2 linked regions of the Caenorhabditis elegans genome follow. The protein of the gene in region 1 interacts with the protein of each later gene in a biochemical or structural test. Each region holds a gene or a part of one and is shown on either strand. Other genes may lie near its edges.

Evidence for each region.
Region 2: the proteins of pck-2 (region 1) and ung-1 form a complex in vitro, tested with the Caenorhabditis elegans proteins (one large-scale study listed by BioGRID).

Annotation. Positions count from the first base shown.
Region 1 is NC_003279.8:7,864,267-7,872,208, forward strand, and holds pck-2 (Phosphoenolpyruvate carboxykinase [GTP]), read left to right. Parts: upstream 1-1,869; 5' UTR 1,870-2,134; coding exon 2,135-2,170; intron 2,171-2,217; coding exon 2,218-2,322; intron 2,323-3,310; coding exon of another isoform or gene 3,311-3,652; intron 3,653-4,829; exon of another isoform or gene 4,830-5,634; coding exon of another isoform or gene 5,635-5,700; coding exon 5,701-6,866; intron 6,867-6,911; coding exon 6,912-7,218; intron 7,219-7,266; coding exon 7,267-7,617; 3' UTR 7,618-7,834; downstream 7,835-7,942. Other genes in the region: R11A5.6 (uncharacterized protein), read right to left, coding at 3,311-3,652.
Region 2 is NC_003281.10:11,970,913-11,975,764, reverse strand, and holds ung-1 (Uracil-DNA glycosylase), read left to right. Parts: upstream 1-1,674; 5' UTR 1,675-1,675; coding exon 1,676-1,734; intron 1,735-1,779; coding exon 1,780-2,452; intron 2,453-4,025; coding exon 4,026-4,142; 3' UTR 4,143-4,298; downstream 4,299-4,852. Other genes in the region: Y56A3A.31 (SOSS complex subunit A homolog), read right to left, coding at 1,239-1,259; Y56A3A.30 (SP-RING-type domain-containing protein), read left to right, coding at 1-133, 1,506-1,561; Y56A3A.28 (C2H2-type domain-containing protein), read left to right, coding at 4,407-4,499. UniProt on the Caenorhabditis elegans protein: Excises uracil residues from the DNA which can arise as a result of misincorporation of dUMP residues by DNA polymerase or due to deamination of cytosine.

The sequences.
Region 1 (7,942 bases):
ACACAAAGAAAAATACCGTATTCTTAAAACTTTGAAACTTTTAGAAATATATATGAAACACTAGTGTTGTGTATTGAGCTATTTAATATTTTAGCTAGTTTGTAAAACACTTTGTAAAATATATTGAAATCACTTAATTCTGCATTTTTTGTATAAAATGTAACTTTTATTATACGTTTCGAGATCTCAGTCAGCATCTATAGTCTTCGATAATATTGCTCATTCTTGGGAACTAGCAAAGTATGTAGTTTCATCATTTGACTACAATACTCAAAACATGCCTAGTTCTGCCACGTCACAATGGCAGATGGTCGTAAGTGAAAAGAGAATGCAACATTACGTAGTTGCAGTCAACGGGAAGATATGACGTCATTTGTCTGGAAATGATGGATTGTGTGGAAAGAGGTCAGGAAAAAGGGGGAGATATCTGGCGGTTTATGGGTGCATATATAACAGAAGAGTTACGACTGGAAGATCAAAGACTGTAAAGGGCCTTTTAAGTTGTATAATTGCTACTGGAGAAAATTGTTTCCACTACTCTTATGTTAAAATGATCATAACAAATCTTTTTTTTTGAAACTTTTTTCACTGTTAAAAGGTGGCAAATACTCAGTACCACTATTTTTGAAATTGTCCAAAAACACTGCCTTCTGCATGTGTTATTTTTTTAAATCAAAAAATAAATCATTCTAGCAAATTTGGAACTTTGTCAAAACGAAATATGGAAAATTTTGAAACATTTATAACAAATGTGAAGTCTTAAATTATGTTATTCGGTTATATATGAGTAAATGTTCCAATTTTTAAAAATTAATATCTGGCTTCAAACTAACTTTTTCAAAAATTCCCGTAACCATTTTGTAGCAAATTTTGTGTTCTGTCAAAATTTGAAAATAAAATTGAAAAAGGTTTCATATCCGCTGAGTTCAAGCAGAAAAAGTGGATTTTCAGTCATACCTTTTAGTGCACAATTTGAGACCAATTGTGTTTTGAACATTCGAACTGGAGAAAAAAACAAACTTTCCACTTTTCTATAATATCTTATCAATTTTCAAAGTTTTTTTCTTAAAGAACATTAACTTTAATAAATTGGAGTCACAAAAATGGATGTACTCCTGGGTCATAGTGATGACATAAAAAGTGTGTGTTTTATTTTTCACTGCTACGAAATTAAAGGCACATTTATGCAAAATTGTCTTGATGAGCGTTCAGTCTTTTTTTAGAGTGCCTGTGAAAAATTTGTGGAGATCATACGTAGATCACAATTAATTTGAGGAAAATAAACAGAAATTCAACATTGGAGGGAAATTTAATTGTGATCTACGCGCGATCTACTCAATGTTTTCACAGAAACTCTCAAAATAAAGGCTAAACGCGCGGCAAGACCATTTTGCGTAAATGTGCGGACATTCAGTTCAGTTATTAATAATATATATTTTTATTTCTCTCGAACACTTCCAACGGTAATATTTGGCGCCAAAATAGTTCTGTTTGTTTTTTTGTTCTTTCAAAATACATAAACAAACGAACACTTTTCTGACCAAAATAACAAATGGCAATTTCATTCAATTGTTGCGGAAGCAGCCATTGCCATTTTTCGCTTTTAGTTTTTTTCATAAATATATTCCTGTGTTTTGGCGTTCCAAAGTTTTAAAAATGTGAACAACCTTTTTTCAAACTTAATAAGTTAGTTTAATATGTATTAAATTGTTTAGAGGTTCATCTTCTTTGTTACCTTCATTTTTTTTTCAAATTTTAATTTCCAAAAGCACCAGACCATTGAACACTCATTTGATTAAATCGAACAATGTTTGTCCTTCTTTCATTTTTTGCCCTTTCTCCATCATTATCCCTCTCTTCTTTTTACAGTCACACCACCATCGAGCACGCCGTATACACAACATACATTGAACATCATCGTTCAAAAACAACAGTTGGGCGGAGTTAACGCTGAGAGAGGCATCTGGTGACCAGGCTTCGTCTCTTCTTTCCGTGTGCTCTTAAACCACCTGCGTCTCTTTGGGGCCATTCTCTCCTGGCGGCCACTGATACCCATCCCGTCCATCCCTGCCATCTTCTTATTCTTCTCATTCACACCGCAACCAAAGTTTCGGCACAGTCGGTGTAGAGAATCATGTCTGTTGATCCAAACCTTCTTACTCCTTACAAGGTAATATTTTTTATTTATGTTCTTGCCTAATATATGTATTGTTTTAGAATACCGGAGCTGCCAACGCATCTCTCCGTCAGATCTCTGAAGATGCTTTCTACGTTGTCAATGAGGTCGTCATGAAGCGTCTTGGACATGTTCCGATTCTCAAGGTAATTTTTGAAAGTTCCGAAAAGAAAGCAATTGAAAGTGTTTACACTTTTAAATTGTTATAATGGCAACGAGTATAACACTTGAACAAACAAAATGATAAAATTGGGTGGAAAGTACAGAAAATCATTAAAATTTATTTCGATACATGTACACAAATGTGTTGATTCTAGAAATTGTGATGAATTGGATTTTGATCAAAAACCATGTGAGATGGTATCGAAAAAGAAAATTGAAATAAGAAATCACTGAAAAGATTATGTTCTAAACTTTTAATATCGTTTCTTGATTTTCCAAAAAACTTTCAATAATTGTTTCGTTCTGAAAATTGCTTCTGATTTCATTCCACCAGGCAACAATACAAAAGGGACGAACAAAAACCAAATATTTGCTAATAAGATTTTATTCCATTGCTTTTCTTTTCTTCTTTCCAATATTTTCTTCTTCACAATAAACAAACTATTGTGTGTAGTGGTAGAGACCGAAGACGGTCTGCGTTTTAGAGGCCAAAAGAGCGATCTTGAAACCAATTACAAAGCAATAAGAAGGAGGAGGAGGAGGAGGTGATCTCTTATCACTTATCACTGATTGACTCGCTGATATCATATCACACCACGAGGACAGAGACGGGGTTTTCCAAACGGCGATTCTCGAACAGCGCAAAGTACGCACTTAGATCTTCTACGACTAGGAACCATAGAATATTCCAGAAAAGATTCAAGAAACGAGAGCGCACAAAAATGTGAGGGAGGGATTGGCACGCGCCTTGCTTTTTCAAATGGAAAGTGGCTTTTTCAAGCAGGAAAGGGTCCTCTTGTACAGCATCCGAGAGGGTTGTTTGTTGAGAGTAGCCAACGAAAAACTAAAAATTTGTCTCAAGGGAAAAATATTTATTTGGGAATAATTTTATATGCTGTCGTATCTACATAAGTTTACTATAGTTTTGGAAAAAATTCACTATCAAGCAATTTCAGCATATAATATTTTTTTTTAAATAATGGAAACAAGTAGTTCTTTCCGTTCTTTCAAAAATTTCAAAGATAGTAAATTTTGTCGAAATTTAAAGTTCAAAGTCTCAGGCTCTTGTGGCTTATGAGCTCCCTTCTTTTTTCGAAACTTCTTGATATCTACACGTGGTTGTTTGCAACCTTCTCCATCTTCTCCTCCCCGTGTCTGCGTGCAATTCGGCACAAGTGCCGGGGAGTCGGCTGGAGCAGTTGGTGTCCCTGTCCCTGACAACTCGGCCCGTAACTGCCTCTGGTCAATCGATCTAGGAGTGCCTGTGAGAGAACGAGATGAAAAAAAAACTAAAAATAACCAAGAGAAATACATAAACAAATTTTTTTCCCAGCATGAAAGATTCTCGTGCAGAGGAACCAGTTTCGGATAGCATTGAAATGGAAAGGTCAATGTTCAAATGATACGATAGACGGTTGTTGGTGTAGGGCAGAAACTGCAAGGACCGGTACAAAATTCGAACTTTGCTTCGAGCGACCTTGTTAGTTTATTGGGGTAAAGGAAATAAATAATTTAAGCTACAATAACACTACTAATAGAGACTTTATTTTGCTGCAAAATCATTACTTATATATAAAAAAATAATTCCGTTTGTTCCATAGTTTGTAGTCTATGTAGTCTTTGTAGTCTGTGACGTCACACCCAAAGTCACTGAGAATTGTGGGCGGGGTCTGTCATCCTTCGTGGTGAGACCCATCGTGGCGAGACCCATCGTGGCGAAACCCATCGTGGTGAGACCCATCGTGGTGAGACCCATCGTGGCGATACCCATCGTGGCCAGACCCATCGTGGTGAGACCCGTCGTGGCGAGACCCATCGTGGTGAGACCCATCGTGGTGAGACCCACCGTGGTGAGACCCGTCGTGGTGAGACCCATCGTGGTAAGACCCATCGTGGTGAAACCCATCGTGGCGAGACCCACCGTGATGAGACCCGTCGTGGCGAGACCCATCGTGGTGAGACCCACCGTGGTGAGACCCGTCGTGGTGAGACCCACCGTGGTGAGACCCGTCGTGGTGAGACCCACCGTGGTAAGACCCAAAATTTTGGCGGGAAATTTAAATTTTCTGTGAAAAATATTTTGGCGGGAAATTTAAATTTTCTGTGAAAAATATTTTGGCGGGAAATTTAAATTTTCTGAGAAAAATATTTTGGAGGGAAATTTAAATTTTCTGTGAAAAATATTTTGGCGGGAAATTTAAATTTTCTGAGAAAAATTTTTTGGCGGGAAATTTAAATATTCTGTGAAAAATATTTTTGCGGGAAATTGAAATTTTCTGAAAATTCTAAAATTCTGGAAATCTAGAATCTTCTGGAAATTTCGAAAAAATTCTCGAATGTTCCAGAACTTTCTAGAAAAATCGAGAAAATTCTGGAATGTTCCAGAACTTTCTAGTAAAATCGAAGAAAATTCTGGAATGTTCCAGAACTCCTAGAAAAATCGAGAAAATTCTGGAATGTTCCAGAACTTTCTAGAAAAATTGGGAAAGTTCTGGAATGTTCCAGAACTTTCTAGAAAAATCGAGAAAATTCTGGAATGTTCCAGAACTTTCTAGAACAATTGGGAAAGTTCTGGAATGTTCCAGAACTTTCTAGAAAAATCGAGAAAATTCTGGAATGTTCCAGAACTTTCTAGAAAAATTGGGAAAAGTCTGGAATGTTCCAGAACTTTCTAGAAAAATCGAGAAAATTCTGGAATGTTCCAGAACTTTCTAGAAAAATTGGGAAAATTCTGGAATGTTCCAGAACTTTCTAGAAAAATCGAGAAAATTCTGGAATGTTCCAGAACTTTCTAGAAAAATTGGGAAAAGTCTGGAATGTTCCAGAACTTTCTAGAAAAATCGAGAAAATTCTGGAATGTTCCAGAACTTTCTAGAAAAATCGAGAAAATTCTGGAATGTTCCGAAAAATTGAGCTTAGAGCTTTAGAAGAGGTAGTTATTTGGGAGTTGATGGGGGATCAAGTCAAGGTACTGTAGTGGTACTATAGGGGTACTGTAGGTATACGGTAGGGTTACTGTAGTTTTGGAAAATTTGACTTTTTGTCCTTTGAAGAGATATTGGGTTAGGAGTTGGTGGAGGATAATGTCAAGGTACTGTAGTGGTATTGTAAGGTTACTGTCTTGGCCAAAAAGTAACAGAAAGTTTTCATACTGTCTGTGAATTTTTGAAACATGCATGTCGTAGAAAAATACATACATGTAACAGTGCCAGTAAACCGCGTTTTAAGTGTTTCAAGTTTTTTTCATGATGAGAAATTTTTTGAGTGATTGAAGGTATGTGTGTCAAATACTTTTAATGGTGCCAGTCGTTGCCCGCGCCGTAGGCGCAGTCAGCGGCTGGTATATATATAATTTTTTTCAGGGAGACTTCCATCTTCTGCCAGCCAAGGTGCAACGTTTCATCGCCGAGAAGGCCGAGTTGATGCGTCCACGTGGAATCTTCATCTGCGACGGATCTCAACATGAAGCTGATGAACTTATCGACAAGCTCATCGAGCGTGGAATGCTCTCCAAACTCGAAGCATATGAGAATAACTACATCTGCAGAACCGATCCAAAGGATGTTGCTCGTGTCGAATCGAAGACCTGGATGGTCACCAAGAACAAGTATGACACTGTCACACACACCAAGGAAGGAGTTGAACCAATCATGGGACATTGGCTTGCTCCAGAGGATCTTGCCACCGAGCTTGATAGCCGTTTCCCAGGATGTATGGCTGGACGTATTATGTATGTCATTCCATTCTCTATGGGACCAGTTGGAGGACCACTTTCCAAGATCGGAATTCAATTGACTGATTCCAACTACGTCGTGCTTTCAATGAGAATCATGACTCGTGTCAACAATGATGTTTGGGATGCTCTTGGAAATCAAGATTTTGTTCGTTGTATCCACTCTGTTGGACTTCCACGTCCAGTCAAGCAACGTGTTATCAACCATTGGCCATGCAATCCAGAACGTGTTCTCATTGCTCATAGACCACCAGAGCGTGAAATCTGGTCTTTTGGATCCGGTTATGGAGGAAATTCCCTTCTTGGTAAGAAGTGCTTTGCTCTTCGTATCGCTTCCAACATTGCCAAGGATGAAGGATGGATGGCCGAGCACATGCTTATTATGGGAGTAACACGTCCATGTGGTCGCGAACACTTCATCGCTGCTGCTTTCCCATCTGCTTGCGGAAAGACCAACTTGGCTATGCTTGAGCCAACTCTTCCAGGATGGAAAGTCCGTTGTGTCGGAGATGATATTGCATGGATGAAGTTCGGAGAGGACGGAAGACTCTACGCTATCAACCCAGAAGCAGGTTTCTTTGGAGTTGCTCCAGGAACCTCAAACAAAACTAACCCAATGGCTGTTGCTACATTCCAAAAGAACTCGATCTTCACCAACGTCGCCGAGACTGCTAACGGAGAGTACTTCTGGGAGGGACTTGAGGATGAGATCGCCGACAAGAACGTCGATATCACCACATGGCTTGGAGAGAAGTGGCACATTGGAGAGCCAGGAGTTGCTGCTCATCCAAACTCGTAAGTTAACATTGAAAATTATAGTTTGTAAAAGTAATTTTTCAGGCGTTTCGCTGCTCCAGCCAATCAATGTCCAATCATTCATCCAGACTGGGAAAGCCCACAAGGAGTTCCAATTGAGGCTATCATTTTCGGAGGACGTCGTCCACAGGGAGTACCACTCATTTATGAGACTAACTCATGGGAACACGGAGTCTTCACTGGATCATGCCTCAAGTCAGAAGCTACCGCTGCGGCCGAATTCACTGGAAAGACTGTTATGCACGATCCAATGGCCATGCGTCCATTCATGGGATACAATTTTGGAAAGTATCTCCAACATTGGTTGGATCTAAAAACCGACTCCAGAAAGGTAATCGATTTTTTCATATTTTCAGTAATTTAATGTTAATATTTTTAGATGCCAAAGATCTACCACGTCAATTGGTTCCGTAAGGATTCAAATAACAAGTTCTTGTGGCCAGGATTCGGAGACAACATCCGTGTTATCGACTGGATCATCAGAAGACTCGATGGAGAACAAGAAATCGGAGTGGAAACCCCAATCGGAACAGTTCCAGCCAAGGGATCCATCAACTTGGAAGGACTCGGAGAGGTCAACTGGGATGAGCTCATGTCTGTGCCAGCCGACTACTGGAAACAAGATGCTCAAGAAATCCGCAAGTTCCTCGATGAACAAGTTGGAGAAGATCTTCCAGAACCAGTTCGTGCCGAGATGGATGCTCAAGAGAAGAGAGTCCAGACATTGTAATTATTATACCCGTTTTTCGCGCATTATTTCACGGTTATCTAACAGTTTTCTGTTTGTTTTATTTTTTATTTGAAACGCATCTATTGTTCCTATGTGAGTAGTGCCTTTTCTTCGCTTCACAACAATGTTTTATTTTTCTCAATGTGTATAGTTACATGATTTTGGTAAAGTAAAAATGAATTGTTTTATGGAAAAATCAGTATCCGAATTTCTCATTTTATAATTTTTATTTTGAAAAAACTAGAAGGTCACTAACAAGATAATAACTTAGGAAAAAACCTTTACAGAAGTGGAATTTCAAGCGAAACATTTAGAGATCAGAAGC
Region 2 (4,852 bases), on another chromosome or scaffold:
CCTGGTAGTTGGACCTACAACAATGGATTCGGCAATGGATATGGGTACGGCGGTGGAACCACTGGATACATGGATAATCTTGTTGGCAGAGGGTTTGACACGGTTTCTCAGCAGCCTGGATTTCAGAATCAAGGTACATTTTTTAAAAGGAATTGAGAAAAATGTGCCAAAAAATTTTAAAGGTGGACTACGCTTTGTGGGGAAATTGCTTTAAAATACGCCTATGGTACCACAATGACCGAATATCATGATTAAAAAATTCAAAAATTTTTTCTAAATTTTATATGATTTTTTGAAAATTGGAAAAATCACAGTTTTCCCCTAATTCCTATTTGAATTACCGCCAATTGAATTTGTTCGATGGGGCGCGCTTGCACGTTTTTAAATTTATTTATTTTATTTTTTGTTATTTTCCACCGATTTTTAATGTTTTCGGTGTATTTTTGCTCGAATTTTAGAGAAAAAGTCAAAATAAATGCAAATTTTCGATTAAAAAGTGCGCTTACAGGCGTAAATCAGTGAAATTAATTAATTCAGGTTCGAAATCGTTTAAAAGCGTTACTTTTTCATTTTTACGCCTGTAAGCGTGCTTTTTAATCGAAAATTTGCATTTATGTTGATTTTTTCTCTAAAATTCGAGCAAAAATACACCGAAAACATTAAAAATCGGTGGAAAATAACAAAAAATAAAATAAATAAATTTAAAAACGTGCAAGCGCGCCCCATCGAACAAATTCAATTGGCGGTAATTCAAATAGGAATTAGGGGAAAACTGTGATTTTTTCAATTTTCAAAAAATCATATAAAATTTATAAATTTTTTTTTGAATTTTTTATCATGAAATTCGGTCATTGTGGTACCATAGGCATGTTTTAAAGCAATTTCCCCACTAGCGCTACCCCACCTTTAAAGGAATTGTGAAAATTGTGAAAAAAAAAATCAAAATTTCGAAAAAAAAAGCGCTAATTTTAACTAAAATCTCTAATTTTGGCCACTTTTCCGTGCTGCAGCGTCCGAAAGTGCACTTTTTTTGAATTATTATTCTTATTATTATACATTAAAAACCCCCGTACTCCTCCAATAACGCCAATATTATCGACCATCTGGACGTGACCGCGTGCAACCACGGCCTAGCTGCCGCCACCCCATTCAAACGAGACATTTCGGCGGGAGAGTCCTTTTTTTCGATAATTCGGATTTTTTTGTCTGTTTCAAGTAATTTTCGCCATAAAAATTACCATTTTCTTCTTCGGTGCCATTTCTAATGATTTTCCAGTGCGTTTTGAGTCTGAAAGTTTGAAAATAAGAGTTTTTGCACAAAAATGTGTGAGAAAAGTTCAAGAAAATCGTCGAAAAATTCAATAAATTAATTTTAAAATTTAAAAAAAAATTAATTTTTTTTAAAAATCAATTCTGTGCATACACCGCCACGCAAAAGTGCACACAATTACCTACCGTAGTCAATGCGAAATTAAATGATTTTTATCGATTTTCTTCATTTTCAGGTTACGAATTCACCGGTTTGCCTGCAAATAACTCGAATAATTTCCCATTTTTGTGATTTAATTTTTCAAATATCCTTATCTATGCCCTCAGGTTTATTTTATCTCATTTCCACTCGTGTTTTTTGAATAAAAATTCTTTTTTTTTCTTCTAGATTTCCGTTTATTTCAGAATGTCGAAGACTGTAAGAATTCCGGACATGTTCCTCAAAGCATCCGCTGCCTCTAAACGGTATTTCCCGCTCTGAAAATTCAAAAAAAACCACCGAAATTTCAGAAAATCCGCTTCAAATACTGAAAATATTCCGGAAAAAGTTCCCGCGGGCAATGAAAATCAAGAAGTCAAGAAAATGAAGTTACAAGCACCAGAACCAACTGAAATTCTGCTAAAATCCCTGCTAACCGGTGAATCTTGGTCGAAACTTTTAGAGGAGGAATTCAAAAAAGGCTATATTTCGAAAATCGAGAAATTCTTGAATTCCGAAGTGAACAAGGGCAAGCAAGTGTTCCCACCGCCCACACAAATTTTCACAACATTCAATCTTCTGCCATTCGACGAGATCAGCGTGGTTATCATCGGTCAAGACCCCTATCACGATGATAATCAAGCTCACGGGCTCTCCTTCAGTGTTCAGAAGGGTGTAAAACCGCCGCCATCGCTGAAAAATATCTATAAAGAGCTTGAATCCGATATTGAAGGCTTCAAGCGGCCCGATCACGGGAACCTGCTCGGCTGGACACGTCAGGGAGTGTTCATGTTGAATGCCACGTTGACGGTTCGGGCTCACGAGGCGAATTCTCACGCGAAGATCGGCTGGCAAACTTTCACGGACACTGTTATTCGGATTATTTCGCGACAATCGGAGAAGCCTATTGTCTTTTTGTTATGGGGAGGATTTGCTCATAAGAAGGAAGAACTGATTGATACAAAGAAACATGTAGTTATAAAGGTCATTATTTTTCTGGATAGAATTCTGGAAAAAGCATGGAAAAGTTGATTTTAAGATTTTTTCCCTAAAAATGTGTTGGAAAACGACAAAAATTGCCGATTTTCACCTGTAAAATCGGAAATTTTGCGATTTTGCTGGAAATTTAGGTAAAAATTGCCAGAAAACCTAGAAAAAAATTCAAGATTTTCCCATAAAATGGTAGTAAAATTGTCACTTTTCAGTTAAAAACTAAAAAAAATTCAGGGGTTTGCTCTAAATTTTCCCCTGATTCCGAATATCTATGTGAAAAATTGGAAAAAAACGTCCCTTTTATTGTAGAAAATCGACGATTTTCAAACGCGCGCCAGAGAGCCAGAGACGATTCTCATTGGAACGCACCGTGTTGTGTCGATTTACGAGATTTGTTTTTTTAAAGCCAATTTTTTGCTGTTTCTTCATTTTTTTTTTCGGTTTTTTGAACATTTTATTATTATAAAACTCGCAAAATTTCCTTATTTTTAGATGGAAAATGATTTAAATTCAGAGAAAAAAAACCGAATTTTTTCGATTTTTTCAAAGAAAATCGGAATTTTTCTTCTTTTTTTTTTTAAATAGAAAACCGGAATTTTTCTATTTCTTTCCAGAGAAAATCGGAATTTTTTCGTTTTTTTTAATTTTTTTCAAAGAAAATCGGAATTTTTTCGATTTTTTTTTTGATTTTTTAGAGAAAATCGGAATATTTTCGATTTTTTCAAAGAAAATCGGAATTTTTTCCATTTTTTCATATAGTTTTCCAGAGAAAATCGGAATTTTTTCCATTTTTTAAAAGAGAAAATCGGAATTTTTTTGAAATTTTTAAGGAGAAAATTAGAATTTTTTCGATTTTTTAAAAGAGAAAATTAAAATTTTTTTTTTCTATTTTTTCAGAGAAAAATCGAAAAACAGAAATTGTTTTTTAATCGAAAAAAAAATTCGAGAAAATTTCTATTTAAAAACTCCAATTTTCTCTTTAAAAACTCAAAAAATTCCGATTTTCTCTGAATTTACCTCCTTTTTCATCTAAAAATAGGAAATTTTCGCGGTTTTCTGATCATAAAATGTTCAATTGGCTCGAAAATACACAATTTTCAACGAAAAAAACCGATAAAAATGAATAAAAAGCTGAAAGCTGGCTCGTAAATCGGCACAAGACACAGCGCGCTTCAATGTCTGGCGCGCGTTTGAAAATCGTCGATTTTCTACAATAAAAGGGACTTTTTTTTCCAATTTTTCACATAGATATTTTAAACAAGGAGCAAATTTGGAGCAAAACCTGGAGAATCTTGTTTTTTTTTTTGGTTTTTAACTGAAAATTGACAATTTTACTACAATTTTGTGGGAAATTCTTGAATTTTTTAAAGTTTTTCTGGCAATTTTTGACATTTTCCACCAAAATTTAAATTAATTTCAAAGGGAAAAATTGATTGGTTTCAGACGTGGAAAATCGCAAAATTTTTGATTTTTGTGAAAAAAAAAACCTATTTTTTAGCGTATTTTAAAAATATTTCCACTAAACTCAAATTTAATTTTTTAAAAAATTTTAAAAAATTTCCAGACCGCCCATCCGTCTCCGCTGAGTGCTCGCAAGTGGTGGGGATGCAAATGCTTCTCGAAATGCAACACGGAGCTCGAAAATTCCGGTCGAAACCCGATTAATTGGGCGGATTTATGAATAAATTCTCCTGTCGAACACCCTGCGTCTCTTCATCTCACACACTCTCTCGCCACTCACTGAAGAACTCTGTTATTTATCGATTTTTCTATTTTCTCTTCATTTTTCCTCATTTTTTCCTCATTTTTTCGGTTTTTCATCATAAAAATTCGATTTTCTGGCCATTTTTTTGTTCAATTTCCAATTTTTCATTCGTTTCAACGATTTTTAAATGCTTTTCACGGAAATTGCAGCGAAAAATTGTTTTTTTAACAGAAAAAAAGAATGCGGCGACAAAAAACCGAAGAGGAACGGAGCTGGACTTCAATTTCTCGGCATTTTTTATGCCTTGAATGTAGAAAATATTTCCGGAATAAGGTAGAGAAGATAATATTCTAATTAAATCGCAGAAAATATATTAAAAATTGAAAAAAAAAAACCGATTTTTCCCAAAAAATATATTAAAAAACCGAAAAAATTCCAATTTCTTCTTTAAAAAAATTTAAAAACATTGAAAAATGCTAATTTTTCTTATAAAAAACGAGAAAATTCCGATTTTTCTCTAAAAATATATTAAAAATTGAAATTATTCCGATTTTTCAGTAAAAATATCAAAAAATCAGATTTTTCTCTAAAAATACATTAAAAAATCAGATTTTTCTCTAAAAATACATTAAAAAATCCGTTTTTTTTTTAAATTTATATTAAAAATCGAAAAATTCCGATTTTTC